Linked DNA regions of Arabidopsis thaliana. The protein of the gene in region 2 interacts with the protein of the main gene of each other region in a pairwise test. Each region holds a gene or a part of one and is shown on either strand. Other genes may lie near its edges.

Region 1 (4,133 bases), on a different chromosome or scaffold from region 2:
AAGCAGGGGAGACGAGTTTCTAGTCTCGGTAGGGTTTTGTTTATGTATTATGATTCCAAGGTTATGTAAGATTTTCTATTTATTTTAATGATTTTTTTTTATTATTTGGTGTATTTTAATTAATTATGTACTTTTTTTAAAAGGGTTAAATCATCCATTTTTGTAACTTTACCCTCCACCTCCAATATATGCAGATTAATCTTATAAAGTTTAAAATAATACGCAATATGACATTTATACGTATATTGTAAACGTTTTTACGATGATATACATTAGAATTTTAAAATTTTGAAGGCAGAGTTGAACTCTTCATCGTGAGGGTTTAGATTTAATATATTACATGTCAATATTTTACAAAATTAATAGTAAAGAAAAAAACAAAGAAGGGTTACAATGCGTATTATTTTAGACTTCATAGGATTAATCTCAATATGTTGGAGGTGAAGGATAAAATTGTAAAAATGGATGAGTTCGAAGTGTTTTTTTACACAAAACCCTTTTTTTAACAACCATTAATTAAGTACATAACAAAACTAAGAAATGAGTTTTAAAAAAATGTTTGATCTTTCATAGGTTTTTCATCAGTAAAATTCAACATAAACAAAATAAGGTTATGAGAAGTATTTTTGAGTTTTGTGACACTTTGAGTTTCAATCATCTGAGTATATCAAATTCAAATCTCATCCTCTTCATGGTGAAAAGCAAAGATTTAAAACCTCTACAAAAGAAACTATACACTCCATTCTCATTCATAAAAAATACATCACTCGTTATAATTGTAGTAGTAGTGATGCTGTTGATACAGGGTTCTTTGTGAAAAATCTGAGAAAGTCTTCAATCAAATCTTCATGATAGAAGAGAACATCAATGACCTGCAAGATAATATTATTTCTAACCAAATCAAACAAAGAGAACCAAAAAAAAAAAAAAAAAACACAAGTACACAAAATAGCCCACCAAGAACAAACATTACCTCCTCTTGCACCTCCTTTACCGACATCTTTCCCTCTTTAAACATCTTCATTAACCCGCGAATTGCCCCCACTACATGAGTATCAAGGCTCTGAAACCGTGTCTGCAGATGGACAAATTTGCTCTAGTTAGTAAAAGAGGAATCAAAAAAGGATTTTGGTGTTTCTCTCCAAGGATTATTTGTCATTTTAGCATGTGTTTACCTTGAGCTTGTTTATAAAATCCTCTACAGAAACAGGTGGAAGGAAGACACTGAAACCAAGAAGAAGATCCTGATGATCTTTCATCAGTTCCTCCACCCTTGCAATGACACTATATTTATCGACTCTGCAAAAAGAGACTAGTAACATCAGAATCAATTCACAGTTGAAAGTAAAGACCAAACCAAATATAACAGGGAAGAAAAGAATACATACCTATGATCACAAACACCATTCAAGAGCTTGATAAACTCTTGATATTTCGTAGGTTCATCATGAAATGTTTCCTTCACAGCAATGATGTATGAATGCGCATCATCCTTAGTTAGAGCAGGTGATACTCGTCTTCCAACCATGGTTTGAATCTAGCCTTTTGTTATCAAAAGAAAGAGAAGATTTTTGTTCAGTAAAACAGATCACATCATTGAATTTAACCTAGAAGCTATTATTACCACTTGAAGAAACAGAACCTAGAGTGCAGAAATCTTAATAACATTACTTAAATCTATGATTTGCCTCAACACTGAAATTGAACAAGACATAAAGCTGCAATAAGCTAAATTTCTCAAAATCCAAATAATTGTCAAAACCAAAATCAACAACAACTAATTCATTCCCATCAGAACCAACGTGAGAACTTGTGTAAAGTGGCCAATATCAACACAGAGCAAACCAACCAAACACTTAGAAGTCTTAAAATCTCAGTCTTAACAAAAACAATAAGAAGTTAATTCGCTAATTTGAGGGTTTAAATCGGATTTGATGAAATTCAGGTAAAATTGATCACACAGGTACGAAATTAAATTCGAAGAACCCAATTCGAAATCATCCCAGAAACTACAAAATCATTCAATGACAATAAGAGAAGAAGATCATCGTATAGTTACCGAAATTCGAAGACAAAAAGGGCTTCCCTAGCTTACGAGTTACGACACACGATCTCGAAGAAGCAGGAGACTAGAACTAGAAGAAGAGATTTCTCTAGGGTTTAGTTTCCGACACTTAACGTTGGATTATATAATTAAGGATTACATCAAAAGTACGGTTTAAAAAAGGAAAAAGGCAAATCTTCTTCTTTTTTTTAATTAATTAATTAAAACTTTTTAATTGAGAAAAGTAAAAAAAGTAAAAAATGTGAAATGCTAATTTTAGTATAGGGATGATCTAATCGAAAATAGAGATTAATGTTTAGACTAAAGAGATAATTTCCCCAAAACATATATTTCTTAGTTTGACTTTGACATAACATTACATACATATATGTGTTAAATTAATTTGATATGGTTAATGTTTAGGAACTACAGTATTTTCTAATACAACATCACATTCAACAACTCTAATTAATAGTCAATAGCAACACCTAGTATACATTCCTAGTATAAATTTGATAACAACACCTAGTATACTTTGCTTTTTATACTATGTGTTAATGTGAAGTTCTAGCGTTTTAAGATATTTTGAATAATAAGAGTAACGAGTTGAAAAAAGATTAATATTATGAAGTTAATTGAAAGCAACAAAGATCATACAGCCTTATTTATAAAACACAATGGCTAAATTCATAACATAATTCCTAAATAAATAAATAAAAGAACGAATCACAAATAAATTATTCAATTTAATACAAATCTAAACCGAACTTGGTTTAGACGAACGAAGAAATCCCACAACATCACCTACCCATCTCATGCCCCAATCTAATAATTAGATCTCCAACCAATCTGGTAAAAATACATTGAAACCAGAAACCAAGTCTTGGTCTCCGTTAAGCAGTTCCTTCACCGCTGTTATGCAATCAGCCCTACTAATTCTGCAATGAAGTTATAAAATCAAAATTAATTACTTCTTCAACACGAAAAAATTGAACCGAACATTTTTAGTCATATTTTCCAAAAACTATGTATATCACATACTTGCGAACTTTAAAATCTTTCATAATCGCAAGAAAGTCTTCATATTTTTTTCTATCATTATGAAAATGATCCTTCACAGCCTTAATATATGCCTTTGCATCAATTTTGGTTGGCTTCGGCTTGTCTCCTTTATACACAAATATACTGTCTCCTTCCGACATGGTTTTCAATTGATCGAGCTGTATTTTCCAAACAAAGAGAATGATTTTTTATTATTATTTGTTTTCACTGAAGAAATTAATTATTTAATTTTGATTTCTATCTTCTCAAACACATTACCTCTTTTCTTTAAAAGTAACTTAAAATCGTTGGAAAAAAGAACAGGAATTTGCATCAGAGATCTTAATTAACAATTACTCGGATTTTTTAACAGTACATGCAATAAACATGACAATAACCAACTTTAGATCGGTAAAGTCAAAGAAGAATTGTAAAAATACTTCAGAGTAACAAACCATAAAAGTAAAAAAGTTCAAGGAAAAGCAAACCAGAAATTTACTACGGGTAGAAGCTTCACCACTAGGACATGAATCGTTTTGAGTTGTATGGGGTGTCTTTATATATCAAAAACCTTGCAGAAATCAGTCCATTTGCTATTAATATCTTTGTAGCAATGAGATATAATTGTATTGTAATATTAAATGAAATAAACACATGTCAGTTTGTAAATAAAATTTGACATTTATTAAAATTTACAGATTTTTAATGTAAATTTAGTAAATAACAAATTAAATTGTAAATTTTTATAAGCATATCTGTCAAAGCTTTATTTTATTACTTCAACTTTTTCGAGATTTTAAAATCACTTTTGTTACAATGTAGGATTTACTATTACAATTTTTTATATATATTATAATATTACAATGTAGCATTTAGTATTAAAATTATATATTTAGTTGATATTAAAAAATAGACTACATGTCAAAACTCAAAAGAATTGATGCCATAGATCTGAAAATAACTTAGTAAATTTACTTTCGTAGTTTTTCAAATCAAAGCCGACTAGCTGTAACTTAGTTTCTGTATGATTCGTGACGTGATTCAAGAA
Region 2 (5,240 bases):
GACGATGTAGTTAAAAGTAAAATATAAACACCAAACTCTATAACACCTACGAAATTCCATTGCCTAGTAAGATATGAAACCATTTCGAAAATACGTCTGTGATCAAAACTTCTTCTTGAAAACTTAATGGGAGAGAGATGGAATCCAGGCTTGAATCGTACCAAGCGCTTTTCGCTTTTAGAGAAAAAACAAATAATTGCAAATTACGTGTAACAAAAGTCTTCTAACGTCGTTGACGGAACCACATTCCTAAATCGTAACGCTGAATTAGTCAATGACGATTATACCCTCAATCATTTCCACTAATCACGACTTTACCTAAGAAGCTCTCTTCCCTGTGGACTGTGGAGACAGTCACACAGAAACATCAAGCAACAGAGTGGTTCTTGTCCGGAAGACCAGAAGGTCATTTCAAATGACAATGACGATTATGCCCTCATATCTGACCACTAATGATTACCCCAAGGAAAAAGCTTTCTTTATGGAGACTGAACATTTCTTGAGAGGAAACCAAACAAAAGCGAGTTCTTGTCTGAAAAGACTAGATAGATAGATGATAATATACGACAATGGATCAGCCTGAAAATGTTCCCAAAAGATGCAGAAACATCCAAAGTAAAAAAGGATAAAATAAAAAGACCTAGTTGGTTGGCTCCGTTCCGTTTTATCCTAATTTTACAACAGAGATTCATAAGGTTTCTGATCCGTCTGAAGAAGCTACATCCATAGCTCATACTATTAAGAAGATTACAGCTAAGAGGCAAAGAAGAAGAAGAAGAAGAAGAAGACACCTGGAGAGATGTTGCGGTGGTTTAACTAGCTTGTCCACTGGCGTTCTTCTTCTTAAGTTCCTCGTTCTCCTGACGCAGCGCATCGATTCTTGACTGGAGAATGCTGATCATAGCCTCTGCACTCATCATCTCAAGCTTGAAAGTTTCTCTTTCAACAGACATCTGGTGAACCTCCTTCTGGAGATCATTAACCTTCTCTTCAGGAGATGCAATTGGACTAGGAGGAGAAGTTTCCTCTTTCTGCTGGTTTTCTTTCTTGTCGGAGATACCCATAAGTGAGAACTCAAGCAATGCAGAGATGGCAGTGTTGGTAGCAGCAGCAGCAGATGATGAGATTAAGGTGGTTGTATTGTCGACGGTTGTTATTGTGGACGAACAATGGTCCTGTGTGTTCCTGCTTGAGTTGTTGTTGGACTCGTTTTGGCGTCTACGTTTGTATTGCAGGAGAGGTAGTGGAGCTTCTTTGTTGAGAATGCATAGAGAAGGAGGACGCTCATCTTCTTCTGCGTGCTCGCGTTTGAGTGTGTCCTCATCTTCTTCATAACCACTATGGTTGTTACTCTCCTGTGGCTTGAAGGCACTCTCATGATGATTCTGTTGGTTAGGTTCGATGTCCATTGGAGTAGCATCTCTCGGTAGCTCGTTGATGTTAATGAGATCCTTGCTTGCTGAATGCATTTCCTACAACAAATTACAAGTTATGTGAACCCCAACAGACATAAAATATCTCAAACCAAAACGCGTTGATCGACTTTGCAGATTAACCAAAACACAATAAATATTTCTCTTGTTGAGCACCTTTAATGCCAAACGAAGATTGTAAGTCTGAAATATCATGTAATCAAAGGATAAATCTCAAAGAAAAAGGACCATAAAGAAAAATTAGATATCTTGTGAATCAAGAGAGACCTTTCATTAGATAAAGCTGTAAGGTTGAGCTGAGTTCTACAAAAGGTGATAGCAAACTTAATGGAATTGTGCAGTTTAAGTAAATCAGCCCACTGAAACAGCACTTAGAGAAGCAAAGAGCTTTTGCAATAAGAAATATAATATCTTGTGAATCAAGAGAGATGATTCACATTAGAGGGATGTATCACAGAGGTTATGCATATAAGAAACATTTGAGTATAAAGAAAGTACAAACCTGGTCCATCTGGTTGTTTCCATTGGCTTGTGGTAGAGCCTCTACCCTGACCCTAACGTCTATTCCTGGAATCAGAGCTCCTCCACCATCAGCCCATTCTTCTTCCATGAATGGCGCATATCTGTTCCCACTTGGTGGCCCAATGTTATTCTTGTGAAACACTCTGCACAACACATATGCATCCTGCTGCACCCAGACAAAGAAGTAAGATAAGATAGGATTCTTACAAAATGAGATAACCCCAATTCAAAAGTAACTCTTTTGGACAACATAATACCAGCAGGCTTCCGTTAGTTTCAGTTTCATATTCCACAAGGCGATACTCGTGCATGACCCAATTAGTCCGAAGGCCGTCTGGAGCACGCCCGCTGTGGAAAACAAGCGTCTTTTTCATACCGAGCAACTGAATATCCCGGCGGATTTCTCTGTCTTTTCCAGTTGCTTTCCAGTACCCTTTGTTAGTTGCTCGATTCATCCTAGCACCATTACCGTACTTCTTATCTAACGCACTGAAGAAGTACCATTCTTGGTCCCGAGTTTTCAACTTCGAAAACACTGAAACACACAACACATCACAAGGTTTTTTTTCTTTCAGATCATACTTGAGAACACTTCAGATAGCCAAACACACAAGCAACAAACTTCATTTCCTGATCCACAAGCAAACATAACTGTAGCACAAGCAAACATAACTGTAGCACAAGCAAACACGAAATTCTTAAAGCAATCTGAAGAAAATTCGACTTTCTTCAGTTAAGAAGTCAATTGGATGGAATGTCTTCACAGTGTTAAAGCCTAATTGCCTAAACTTAGCGCCAGGTACGAACAGAGAATCTTCTCTGCAACAAAAAATTTCCCAGAAAACGAATCGGAGCACGTAAAAGCTAAACTCATTTCCCAGAATTGAGCCAGAAGACGGAACAACCAATAAGCCCAGGCGACAAAAATCCCAAATCAGAAGCATCAAATTCACAGAAACCCCCAAATCATAGAGATAAGCAGAAATGAAGAAGAAGAAACCTAACGAACCTGCTAAATCCCAGGGCTCATGCTTGTAGATATCTACCTCTCCAATCGCATCGAAGCGTACAGGTTTACCCAGAACCTTCCTCTTCAAGTAATAGCTCACGAGTTCCTCATCAGTCGGATGAAATCGAAAGCCAGGAGCAAGCGAGGTAGCCGACACAGCAGTACTGGGCGCAGTCGCCGATGGCGGCGAGGACACAACAGCCAGAGATTCGCGACCCATAAAAAGAAAAAAAAAAGACCGTATTTGTTTCTAGGTTTTCTTCTCAATTTTTTCAGACAAACCAGAAATATAGTTGTCAAAATGTTTTTTTTAATATGAAACCAGACAAACCAGAAAAAGAGAAGCAGGTACCTTCAATTGCAAGAAATTTGCTTTCTTTTCGAGTTCCTAGAAGGCTAGAAAAAAAGTAATTTCGGATTGCGATTACTATTTTTCATTTTCAATTTTAATAATAATTTCTCATTTTTGAGTGTTGCAGTAATAAAACCCTAAAAAATGTTACTGCTTAGCTTTTTGTTGTCGTTCTATGCAGTAAAATAAAGGAACCACTAGTCCTAGTGTGTGGTCTGAAAAGTAAGTATCCAACGATAAATATTTTTTAAAAAGTAATATGTTAGACAGATGATGAAAAAAATAATGAAAAATTAAATATTGCTTATGTGATTAATAACTCTTTTTAAAAGGTAAAGTATTTTTTTAAAAGATTAGAGTTTATTTGTTTCCTTTAATGTTAAATGCATTGTATACATCTTTAGTATAAAAATCTTATATTGTATTTGATAAATTATTGTAGTTCAAAGATTTACAAACGCTAGGATAAATAGAAAATAATCTGGTTGGAAAATATGTAATGGTTTTGTGCTTATCAAAAGTTAAATGCTGACATGTACAGTAAAACCTCTATAAATTAATAACTTCTACAAATTAATAAATTATTAAGATTCCAAAAACTAGTATAAAAAGTGATATATATCGATAGATTAATAAGATAATAATTATTTTGAATGTTCTATGTAAATATATGGTCTCATTAATATCATAAATTAATAATTATATAAAAGTATCAACTATGTATATTTATTATATGTAAAAATATTCTTTAAAATTTATTTTTAATATTTTTTTGCTTAAATTTGTATTATTTTTGTTTGAAATTCAGTTCTAATAGTTTTACTATATCAAAAAATTTTGGTATTATTTTCTATACATGAAGTTGACCAAAAAAGAAGAATTAATGAGAATAAGATAGAAGGTGAAAGAAAATAAAAAAGGAGTGACAGATACGTTTGCTTGCAGGAGGATACTTTACCAATAAGGCAAGCTAAAGGGGAGGAGAGACTTGGTCCACACGAATCATCATCTTTCCCATTTTCTGTTACTATTTATTATTCTTCTTTTCTCTATTTATTTTCTAGTACAAGTCCTCTTCAAATTTGTAATTCGTAGTTTGGTTTTCGTTTAAACCATTTGCAATTCTCAAATATAAACATTAACTACGATTTGAACTTGAATAATTTACTTGTGGGGTTTGTATTACTGTTTAAGTCAAGGTGACAAAGACAAAAGGTTACTTTCTTCTCTCTTTTTTTCATCTTCTAGTAAAATGGAATATTTAAAACAATATTATTCGACATGTTGAATTTTGTTGCTGTCGACATTTCGATATTGAAATTCTATATAATTATGGTGTACGGGGGTGGAATTGATGAGGCGTACCAGAAAACTATATGATATTTTTGCACTATTTTCTTCTTTTTTGGTACGCTATGTCTCTTGTCTCTTATGCTTTGTATGCGTAACTAATTCGAAGGCAGAAATTAAAACGAAAAATATCCAACTCTTACTTTTACACATATTATTATGAAACTAATAAAGAAAGTAAGAGTAAAAGAAAACTCTATTTTATTTATTTATTTATATAGGTTGTCAGCTATCTGACACCACTGTCTCCAAAAAGGACAAAATGCTAAAATATCAAGACTTTTTTTTTTGGCTCAAAAAAAATATATGGTTTGTGCCTCGTGTTTAAGCAATGGGCCAAATTTCTTCTAAGTTAGAATATTAAAAGCCCATGATTTATTTGTAGCCCATTTCGGTGACGGACGGGTGTAAATCAAGCCCATGCTAATTTATTCTTCTTTTTCTTATTTTCATAAACGCAGTTTCTCGTATCGAGACTAGAACAACATGCATTCGTCTTCACGAATGAAACACTGAATCTTGAAGAGCTGAGAATAGTGTGTTATGAAATTTCAATTCCGGTAACAGGTTGCAT
Region 3 (2,872 bases), on a different chromosome or scaffold from region 2:
TTACACATCGATATTCAGTAAAAACTATGGCAAAATTAAAGGAGACTATATATTTACACGTTTGTGTATGTAATTAATTGACAAAGAAGTTGTCCAATCTAAATTGGTAGTGAGTGTGCAAAATATGCATAAAGGTCATATGCTCAGTTCTTTCTAAATAAGATTTTATCCATAATTTTTGTTTTAGAATTTAAATGAAGTGGCATCTTAAATTGTAAACGCTGCATCCTAGTAAGCATATGTTAACGGAAATGTAACACTCTTTGCCAATTTAACAAAGTCTCCTTGTAGCAGCATTTTTCACAGTTTAATATGTTACAAAATCTTTCATGACTTCTCTTTGGTAAAATAAAATAAAAATTAAAGAGCATCATACTACTACACAATACTTTTTTTCTTTCTGTTTTAATAAGATTTTGTTAAACTCAAAGGTGATATCTATTAAAACAAAATATTTCAGTTTTTTTAACCCATTACTGGATGTTGTAGAAAACAATAACAATTCATAATGTATAAAAAAGACAAATAAAAAACATAATTCTTAACACTCATAATTAACTAGTGATGATCACAAGTGATCTACTAATTAAAATCTTGATTACAGATCATTTGTTATTATTCTCATCATGTCCTCTCTTGATCCTTAAAGCAACTTCCTCACGCAGTTTCTCTTTGAGCTCTTGATACTTCTCCATCATCTTCTTCGCCTTTTCGTGATCCTTCACGTCATTTGGATCTGCTTTCCACCACGCATCCTTATTCACGGCCCTCGTCTCCGCCAATGCAGCTGCCTTCTTGACTTTGACTTCGTCCACCTTTAACTCCTCCACCAATCTATTGTATCTTTTGCAAAGCTCTTGAATCTTCGCTTGCTTGTGAGCATTCTTGACCGATCGTTGCAACGATGATGAAGAAGACGACGAGGCCTCGCCGTTGAGAAACCGCTCCACCACGGCTTGGAAGGACGGACTGCCGAATGTGTATGGTTTTCCAGAGCAAGAATACCCGATAAACGCAACTTCAACACCACAGAGAATGGAAAGCTCAATGATCATAGTGTAGATAGCATTTAGACGCTTAGACAATGTGACCGATCTGTCTTCGTCTTTTTCAATTTTCTTGATGTTAATCTTTTGTTTTCCTTTGGTTTTCTTGGGATTCATTTTGGAGAAAAACAAAATTATGAGTTTATTGGTTATAAAAAAAAAAGAGAGAAATTTAAGCTAAGTATGTGATTGATGTATTTGGCTTTAGCCAAGGAATATTTTTTTTTTGGTTGGGTGCAAGATAGGGTTTATATAGATGGAAAAATGGTGGTAAATTAAATTGCATAAAAATTAGTCAATTCTTAGATTAATGTTTGGAAGGTTGTTAATATTTGTTATCCGCATAGTTATGGTCGATTAATAACAACTCTTAATTCCGGATGTAGAGACTTTGACTAGAAGAGATTTTATGGTAATAATGAATGTATGATATTCTGAACTTGTACCTTTTTTTTTTTGGTAGAAGGTTAACTTTATACCAATTTTCTGTTTTTTTTTACGAAAGCGAAACTTACTAGAAAAAAAAATTGCTAGAAAGAAAAACTAATACAACCAAAATAAGTAAGAAGAAGAGAAGGAGAGGTAGAAGAAGAGGGAGAGAAACCGATCCCTTAAAGAGCGGTCCAGGGAAGCTTGAGTAACAGATGTCGGTGAGGTTATGTTGTTGAAGATCCGGACATTACGCTCCCGCTAGATGAGATAGCAGGCCGCTTGCAAGATGAGCTTGGCAATAGTCATGATCTTGGGGTTAGAAGAAGTCCTTACCTGCAAAATCCAAGAAGAAATCGAGAGAAGACCAGATGGAGGAGAAGGCCAAATCCTTGAAGCAAACCCTTCCCAAAGAGTGGCAGAATAAGCACAGTCAAAGAATAAGTGAGCATGAGTCTCTAGGCCAGAAGAACATAGCACCCACTCAGCAGGGACAATAAATCCCTAGCTTCTTAACTTGTACCTTTTGTATAAGAAGCATCTTCAACTCCCACTTCTCAAAACATTTCTAAATTAGATCCTAGTACATATATACAAAAAAGATTCATTCTACTTTCTTAATTAGAGATGATACAAGGAACATATATGAAATAATTACACATCGATATTCAGTAAAAACTATGGCAAAATTAAAGGAGACTATATATTTACACGTTTGTGTATGTAATTAATTGACAAAGAAGTTGTCCAATCTAAATTGGTAGTGAGTGTGCAAAATATCCATAAAGGTCATATGCTCAGTTCTTTCTAAATAAGATTTTATCCATAATTTTTGTTTTAGAATTTAAATGAAGTGGCATCTTAAATTGTAAACGCTGCATCCTAGTAAGCATATGTTAACGGAAATGTAACACTCTTTGCCAATTTAATTGTTTTGTCATATTTGAATTGTTCGTGTATGAAATGTAATTTTTATTTAAGTTAGTGTACTTTTAAGCACACTTCATAGGAGAACTGGCTGTTTTCCCGTAGATATAATTAACAAGGATCCTATTATCAAAATTTACATAATAGAGTATATGTATTATGCTATTACTGTAACTCCTAGAAAAGTCAAAATGGTTTCACCAAAGTTATGCCCTAGCATGTTAAATTGCATATATATATTTATAGTTCTGATAGTTTTTCAATAACTAAATGGTAGTAGTCTAGTAGTTTTCACTTACATAGGAGTTGTTATGCAGGTTTAGGACAGAAATCAATTTTCTTCAAATGCAAAATGCACTAAATTACTCTATTCTAGTCAAAATGATGCCACATTTTAGGTTTATTAAATAATTTTGGCATTCTAATGTCATTTTTTTTTTTTTGGCTTTAGTCACGAAGGAATTAGTTTT
Region 4 (5,121 bases), 3.0 Mb from region 2:
GTTTTCATCTTGTAATGTTTTCTAATCATTGTAACATGAAAACACAAACGCATACATAATTGCAGACAAAGTTGTTCCATCACATTACAAAAGACACCGTTAACATATAACTCTTAATACACAACAAAAGTCAGAGAAGAATCTACAGAGTATGAACAGCTGATTCGATTTCGCCGTCCATTGAATCAGCCGTTTCTCTGAACGATTGGCTATGAAGATGCCTGGTAAAACTAGTGGTCGTGTCCAAGAAATATAGAATCGAGGACATCATACAACAGCACACAAACATCGGGATTGGCCCGAAGGTCCATAAGAAGAGAGGGAAGGAGAAGTAGAAAGCCCGTAATCCGAGAGACCAGAAGTAGCTAGCTCGGTTCAGGTTTCTAGACACGTACTCGCAGTGCTCTCTTTTCCCTCTTGAGACAGGCACTGTGACTAGGAAACTTACGTGAGCGTAATACCTGATTGACTGGATGTTGCAGAGAAAGGCCATGAGGAAACAGATCAGGATTGCAAAGTTCTTGAATGACGCTAAGCGAGGGCTTTTGCTCCCGTATATGAGATTTGTTGCCGTGGATTTTGAAGATGACGAGTTGCTTACAAAGACGCCGATGATGGAACATAAAGTGATTGCTGTTGTGGCTAAAAGGGTTGATGCCATTATGTTGTTCCGGATTGTCTGAACAGCCAAGGTACCATTTTTCAGTGGTTCCTGGAAATAACAATAGATAAACTTATATCATCTACTGCAAAAGAACCAATACTGAGAGCCAAGACCACCGATAATTCGGATCTTAACGGACAGACACACGACTGTGTTCTTGTTTCTCATGTCTATGACTCTGTTCCTATCCAATGAACCTCATTAACTAGCTCCAAGATTCTAGCTGAAATATGCGTAGAGTTGTGAACTATAGGGATCTGTGATGCATATCCTCCATGAACAAGAAGAGTTCTTGAAAAATGTCAAGCTTCCAAGGAAGATAGCCAACCGTCTATTATAACATTGATTCTACTAATGAAGATTCACATCTAACATCACTTGACAGCTCCAAGACTTTGCTTCTCCTAATCTCATCATCTTTACTCATCATAAACCCTGCTCAATTTTGCTACCTGATGTTTGAAGATCCAAATATTTATGGTTTACTAGTTTTTAGTTGACTTCGAAAACTTCAGAATCATGAAAATTGAGGATAGGAGAGCCGTAAGACTCTCAATACCCAATTCCTAAAATCACGAACAAAGCAGCTCTATTGCCATAAACCCTAATCTAGACCCCAAAATCTCCAGAATCAGAAATACCAAGAAAATCCCAGAATGTCACCAAAAGAGGAACAATAGAAATGAGAAGAGAAAAAAACATACAGTCATCATAGAGAAGACCCATTGTCGTCGAGACTCAGCGTTGAGAGCGATAACAGTGAGCTTGGGGCGGTGAAGAATAGCGTAGACGAGCCAGACATGGTAAGCAACCATCACGACCAGACCCGTCGGCACAAGCACTAAATCCAAAGATTCCTCCGTCCACATTTCTACTTCGCCGCAGAGATACTTTCAATTCGTACGGTTGTTCCGTGATCGGAAAGATCGATGGCGGCCAAAAGATTTTGGCAGAGGCAAGAGACGAAAAAGCACCAAGCTTTGAGAGCGAAAGCTTTCATTCACACGTGTGAACTTAACAAACTCCAGAGGAGACTATCGATATCTCTCACGTGTTAACCAATAACGCACTAACAGACAACTCAAAGTCGAATGATTTCAATTCCACGATTATACCGGTAATTTCAGTTTAAACCAAATAACCGGTTCGAATTATTTAATGGGCCGCCTAATAGATGGGCTAGAAAATCATTTAACTCTTCTTATAAGGCGTATGACTGGTGGTTTCGTGCGTAATATTAACAAATAAATAAAAGATAAAAAAATCTTCGAGGGAACATTCAGAAACCCTAACTTCAACGGGAACTCAAAAATCAGAATCTCCAGATCGAGAGCTTAAAAAGTCGATTTCAATTCCCCTTTAAGATTTTTTGCTTTTGGAATGTAGTGTGAAGAAGAAACCCTAGTTTTTTCTCACTTGAATTCTCTGCCTTCTTTAGTAATGTCAAGTGAGCAGCGAGAAGGTTCGCAAGAGACGACGACGACGACGGTGGAAGGTAACGGAACAATTGCAGGTCAGAATTCTCATTCGGCGGCTCCCACGACATTGAGAGCTACCTCTACGATGGTTTCTTGCCAGAGACTAAGGCTAAACCCTAACAACGAGCATAGACCCGATAGTTATGAAGATCTGCAGCTTGATTTCCCAAACTCGGTATATTCTAGTCTGGAGAAGTACTTGCCTCCGAATATGCTCGTCTCGAATCGTGATGAGAAAATCAAATTCATGACTGATATTATGCTTAGGCATCTTCCTCATGGAGAGCGTTCCAGAGTAAGTACTAGATTTGGACCTTTCTCTCTTGAATTTTGTTTTTACTTGTATTGATGACTGTGAATTGCTTTAGAAGCTACACTTCATTATGAAAATTTGAGCTTTTGCTAATTGCTACTATGAACTGGTTTCACTTTTAGTTAAGTGGTTATGGAAATTTCAATCTGGTTAGATGATGGTTGGTAGAAGATATTGCATGAATGGTTTGAAAATGTCAATATGAGCTCAAGAGTTTTATTAAGTAGTTTTGTTTGGCTGATGCTACAGGCTCAAAGGCACAGTGACTATAGGCTGAAGATTACAACAAATTATCAGGTGTGAATCCTTTCTTGAGCTTTCTTGTGTTCTGTATTGCTCTGCTCCAGTCATTTGTTAGTAGTTTGAAGTGTTTTTCTACTGCAGCCACTTCACAAGGAGTTGTATACTCTAGTTCCCACAGTATGTTTCGTTCCTGCTTTCCTTAAGGCGATAAATGAAAACACAGAGGAAAGCTTCAGAAATATAATATCTGAACCGTCTCCTGGTGTTTTCGTCTTTGACATGCTCCAGCCTAGCTTTTGTGAGATGATGCTAGCCGAGGTAATGTGCATCCATTTTTTGTTTTTCTCTTATCCTTCGTATTTTGTTCATTTGCTCTTGTTTGACCATGCAGATAGACAATTTTGAAAGGTGGGTGGGTGAGACCAAATTCCGGATAATGAGACCAAACACCATGAATAAATACGGTGCTGTGCTTGACGACTTTGGTCTAGACACCATGCTTGACAAACTCATGGAGGGGTTTATACGTCCCATCTCTAAAGGCAATATATTTTTAAATCCATTACATAGTCTATTATTGGAAAGTCTGTTTAATATGTTCACAGTGTTAAAACTAAAAAGCTACTTCGAATCTTTTGTTTTGCAGTATTCTTCAGTGATGTGGGTGGAGCAACTCTGGACTCTCACCATGGTTTTGTTGTTGAATATGGGAAAGATAGGGATGTTGATTTAGGTGAGACCCTTTGACATATCCTGTATAATTTCCCATGACCTGACTAGTTGTCCTAAATGCAGATATATTCCAATACTCACGTTATTCTGGCTGAAAATTATCAGATGTTATATAAATTTTCAGGCTTTCATGTGGATGATTCAGAAGTAACGCTGAATGTTTGTTTGGGTAATCAATTTGTGGGAGGGGAGCTATTTTTCAGAGGCACACGGTGTGAAAAACATGTGAACACAGCAACAAAGGCAGATGTATGCCACTCTTTTCTGTTGCTTTCTTGTCTTCTAACATTCTGTATATGGCTGATAGCTAATATAAACAACTCTTTTTTTTCTGCGAAAGCAGGAAACATATGATTATTGTCATATACCTGGACAAGCTGTGCTTCACCGTGGCCGCCACCGCCATGGTGCCAGAGCCACAACATGCGGGCATCGGGTCAATATGCTTCTATGGTGCAGAAGGTAAATAGCATCTAAAACTTGCCTCTAGACTGCCATGCATCTTTTTTTACATTGCAATTGACTTTCCATTTTTATTTGGTTTCTTATTAAGCTTGTCTTTCGTGTTGTTCCTTGCAGTTCTGTATTTAGAGAGCTCAAAACTCATCACAAGGATTTCTCCAGCTGGTGTGGAGAGTGCTTTTGTGAAAAGAGAGATGAGAAAGTGCGGTCGATTGATGCTCTAAGAAAGGTAAGCCTGTGATTGATCAAGCTTATATAGTTCTCTGTTTACTAGAATGGTCGATGATTCTATGCTCTTTATTGCTATTGCAGAAATTGTTTAAACCACGTCAAACCCAAGCTTGATGGAACACTAGCAAGATGAGCAATTGATGAAACATTAGTAAGATAAGCAATAACATATATTGGATGACATTAAAACTTGAGATCAAGCCCTGAAGAATTGCTCCTGTTTTAAGCTGACTTAAAACTGAGCCTATGTAGAAATCATTTGAGTTATATGGGTCTCTGTTTATCGTTTCTCAGACTCTTTGATAAAATATGTACATGAAAGAATCTAGTCTCAACTTCACTTGTGTACTACAAGGAGTCATATTGTTGTCCGATTTTTTTTGTTCTTTCATATGAGTACAAGGAAGAATTGGTGTTATCTAATTGGATTTGGTGATGCTGCTCTCTTAAATCTCCATATTCGCCTCAAATCGTTGCTCTACTGAGTTGTGCACTTGTGCTCTTCACCAATGGCTAGAGCCACAAATAATGGATTTTGCTCTTATAGAAACCCAAATCGATTGCTTCGGTAGGCTCTTTTGAATATAAATGAGCATTAGGGCCATTGTGCACGTTATTCTAAATAATGGAAGAGAGAAGAAAGTGTAGATGGTGTTTTGTTGCTGTCTTGTTATTTCATGGCAAGACAAATCGAAATTGGGTGTGAAACGGTACTACCAACCCAATTAGTTGACTTTAAGGCTTATCATTGAATCCTTTTATGGATCTGTTATTTATGTCTCTTTTATATACTCTTCCATTCATTCTTCTCACCAAATTCATTTTATTTTTGGGGTTTCTTGGTATCTTTTTGACAATCTATGTTGATACGATGTTTATATATATGATCACACTAATTAGCAATGTAGATGAAAACACAATCCTTCATCTTCATGATACAGTAGTATAAGATCAATAAGGATCATTTGGGTCTGTTTTAAATCTTAAAAGATTTTGAT

What was found.
Region 1: the proteins of NAC050 (region 2) and AT1G24210 interact in a two-hybrid assay, tested with the Arabidopsis thaliana proteins (one large-scale study listed by BioGRID).
Region 3: the proteins of NAC050 (region 2) and AGL58 interact in a two-hybrid assay, tested with the Arabidopsis thaliana proteins (one large-scale study listed by BioGRID).
Region 4: the proteins of NAC050 (region 2) and AT3G18210 interact in a two-hybrid assay, tested with the Arabidopsis thaliana proteins (one large-scale study listed by BioGRID).

Annotation. Positions count from the first base shown.
Region 1 is NC_003070.9:8,573,000-8,577,132, forward strand, and holds AT1G24210 (Paired amphipathic helix (PAH2) superfamily protein), read right to left. Parts: upstream 2,186-4,133; 5' UTR 2,060-2,185; intron 1,543-2,059; 5' UTR 1,529-1,542; coding exon 1,389-1,528; intron 1,300-1,388; coding exon 1,176-1,299; intron 1,076-1,175; coding exon 974-1,075; intron 873-973; coding exon 771-872; 3' UTR 545-770; downstream 1-544.
Region 2 is NC_003074.8:3,262,354-3,267,593, reverse strand, and holds NAC050 (NAC domain containing protein 50), read right to left. Parts: upstream 3,247-5,240; 5' UTR 3,185-3,246; coding exon 2,965-3,184; intron 2,775-2,964; coding exon 2,745-2,774; intron 2,664-2,744; coding exon 2,595-2,663; intron 2,491-2,594; coding exon 2,213-2,490; intron 2,122-2,212; coding exon 1,936-2,121; intron 1,793-1,935; coding exon 1,701-1,792; intron 1,590-1,700; coding exon 1,544-1,589; intron 1,473-1,543; coding exon 813-1,472; 3' UTR 504-812; downstream 1-503. UniProt on the Arabidopsis thaliana protein: Transcriptional repressor that binds to the motif 5'-(C/T)A(C/A)G-3' in the promoter of target genes. Also binds to the 5'-CTTGNNNNNCAAG-3' consensus sequence in chromatin.
Region 3 is NC_003070.9:10,002,257-10,005,128, reverse strand, and holds AGL58 (AGAMOUS-like 58), read right to left. Parts: upstream 1,250-2,872; 5' UTR 1,164-1,249; coding exon 606-1,163; 3' UTR 548-605; downstream 1-547.
Region 4 is NC_003074.8:6,237,380-6,242,500, reverse strand, and holds AT3G18210 (2-oxoglutarate (2OG) and Fe(II)-dependent oxygenase superfamily protein), read left to right. Parts: upstream 1-1,895; 5' UTR 1,896-2,104; coding exon 2,105-2,437; intron 2,438-2,704; coding exon 2,705-2,752; intron 2,753-2,839; coding exon 2,840-3,016; intron 3,017-3,089; coding exon 3,090-3,240; intron 3,241-3,344; coding exon 3,345-3,431; intron 3,432-3,554; coding exon 3,555-3,679; intron 3,680-3,773; coding exon 3,774-3,892; intron 3,893-4,009; coding exon 4,010-4,121; intron 4,122-4,204; coding exon 4,205-4,237; 3' UTR 4,238-4,599; downstream 4,600-5,121. Other genes in the region: AT3G18215 (transmembrane protein, putative (Protein of unknown function, DUF599)), read right to left, coding at 143-712, 1,369-1,533. UniProt on the Arabidopsis thaliana protein: Participates in the epigenetic repression of flowering genes in association with ICU11. Functions in the repression of several members of the MADS-box transcription factors family, including SEP3, during vegetative development via histone modification.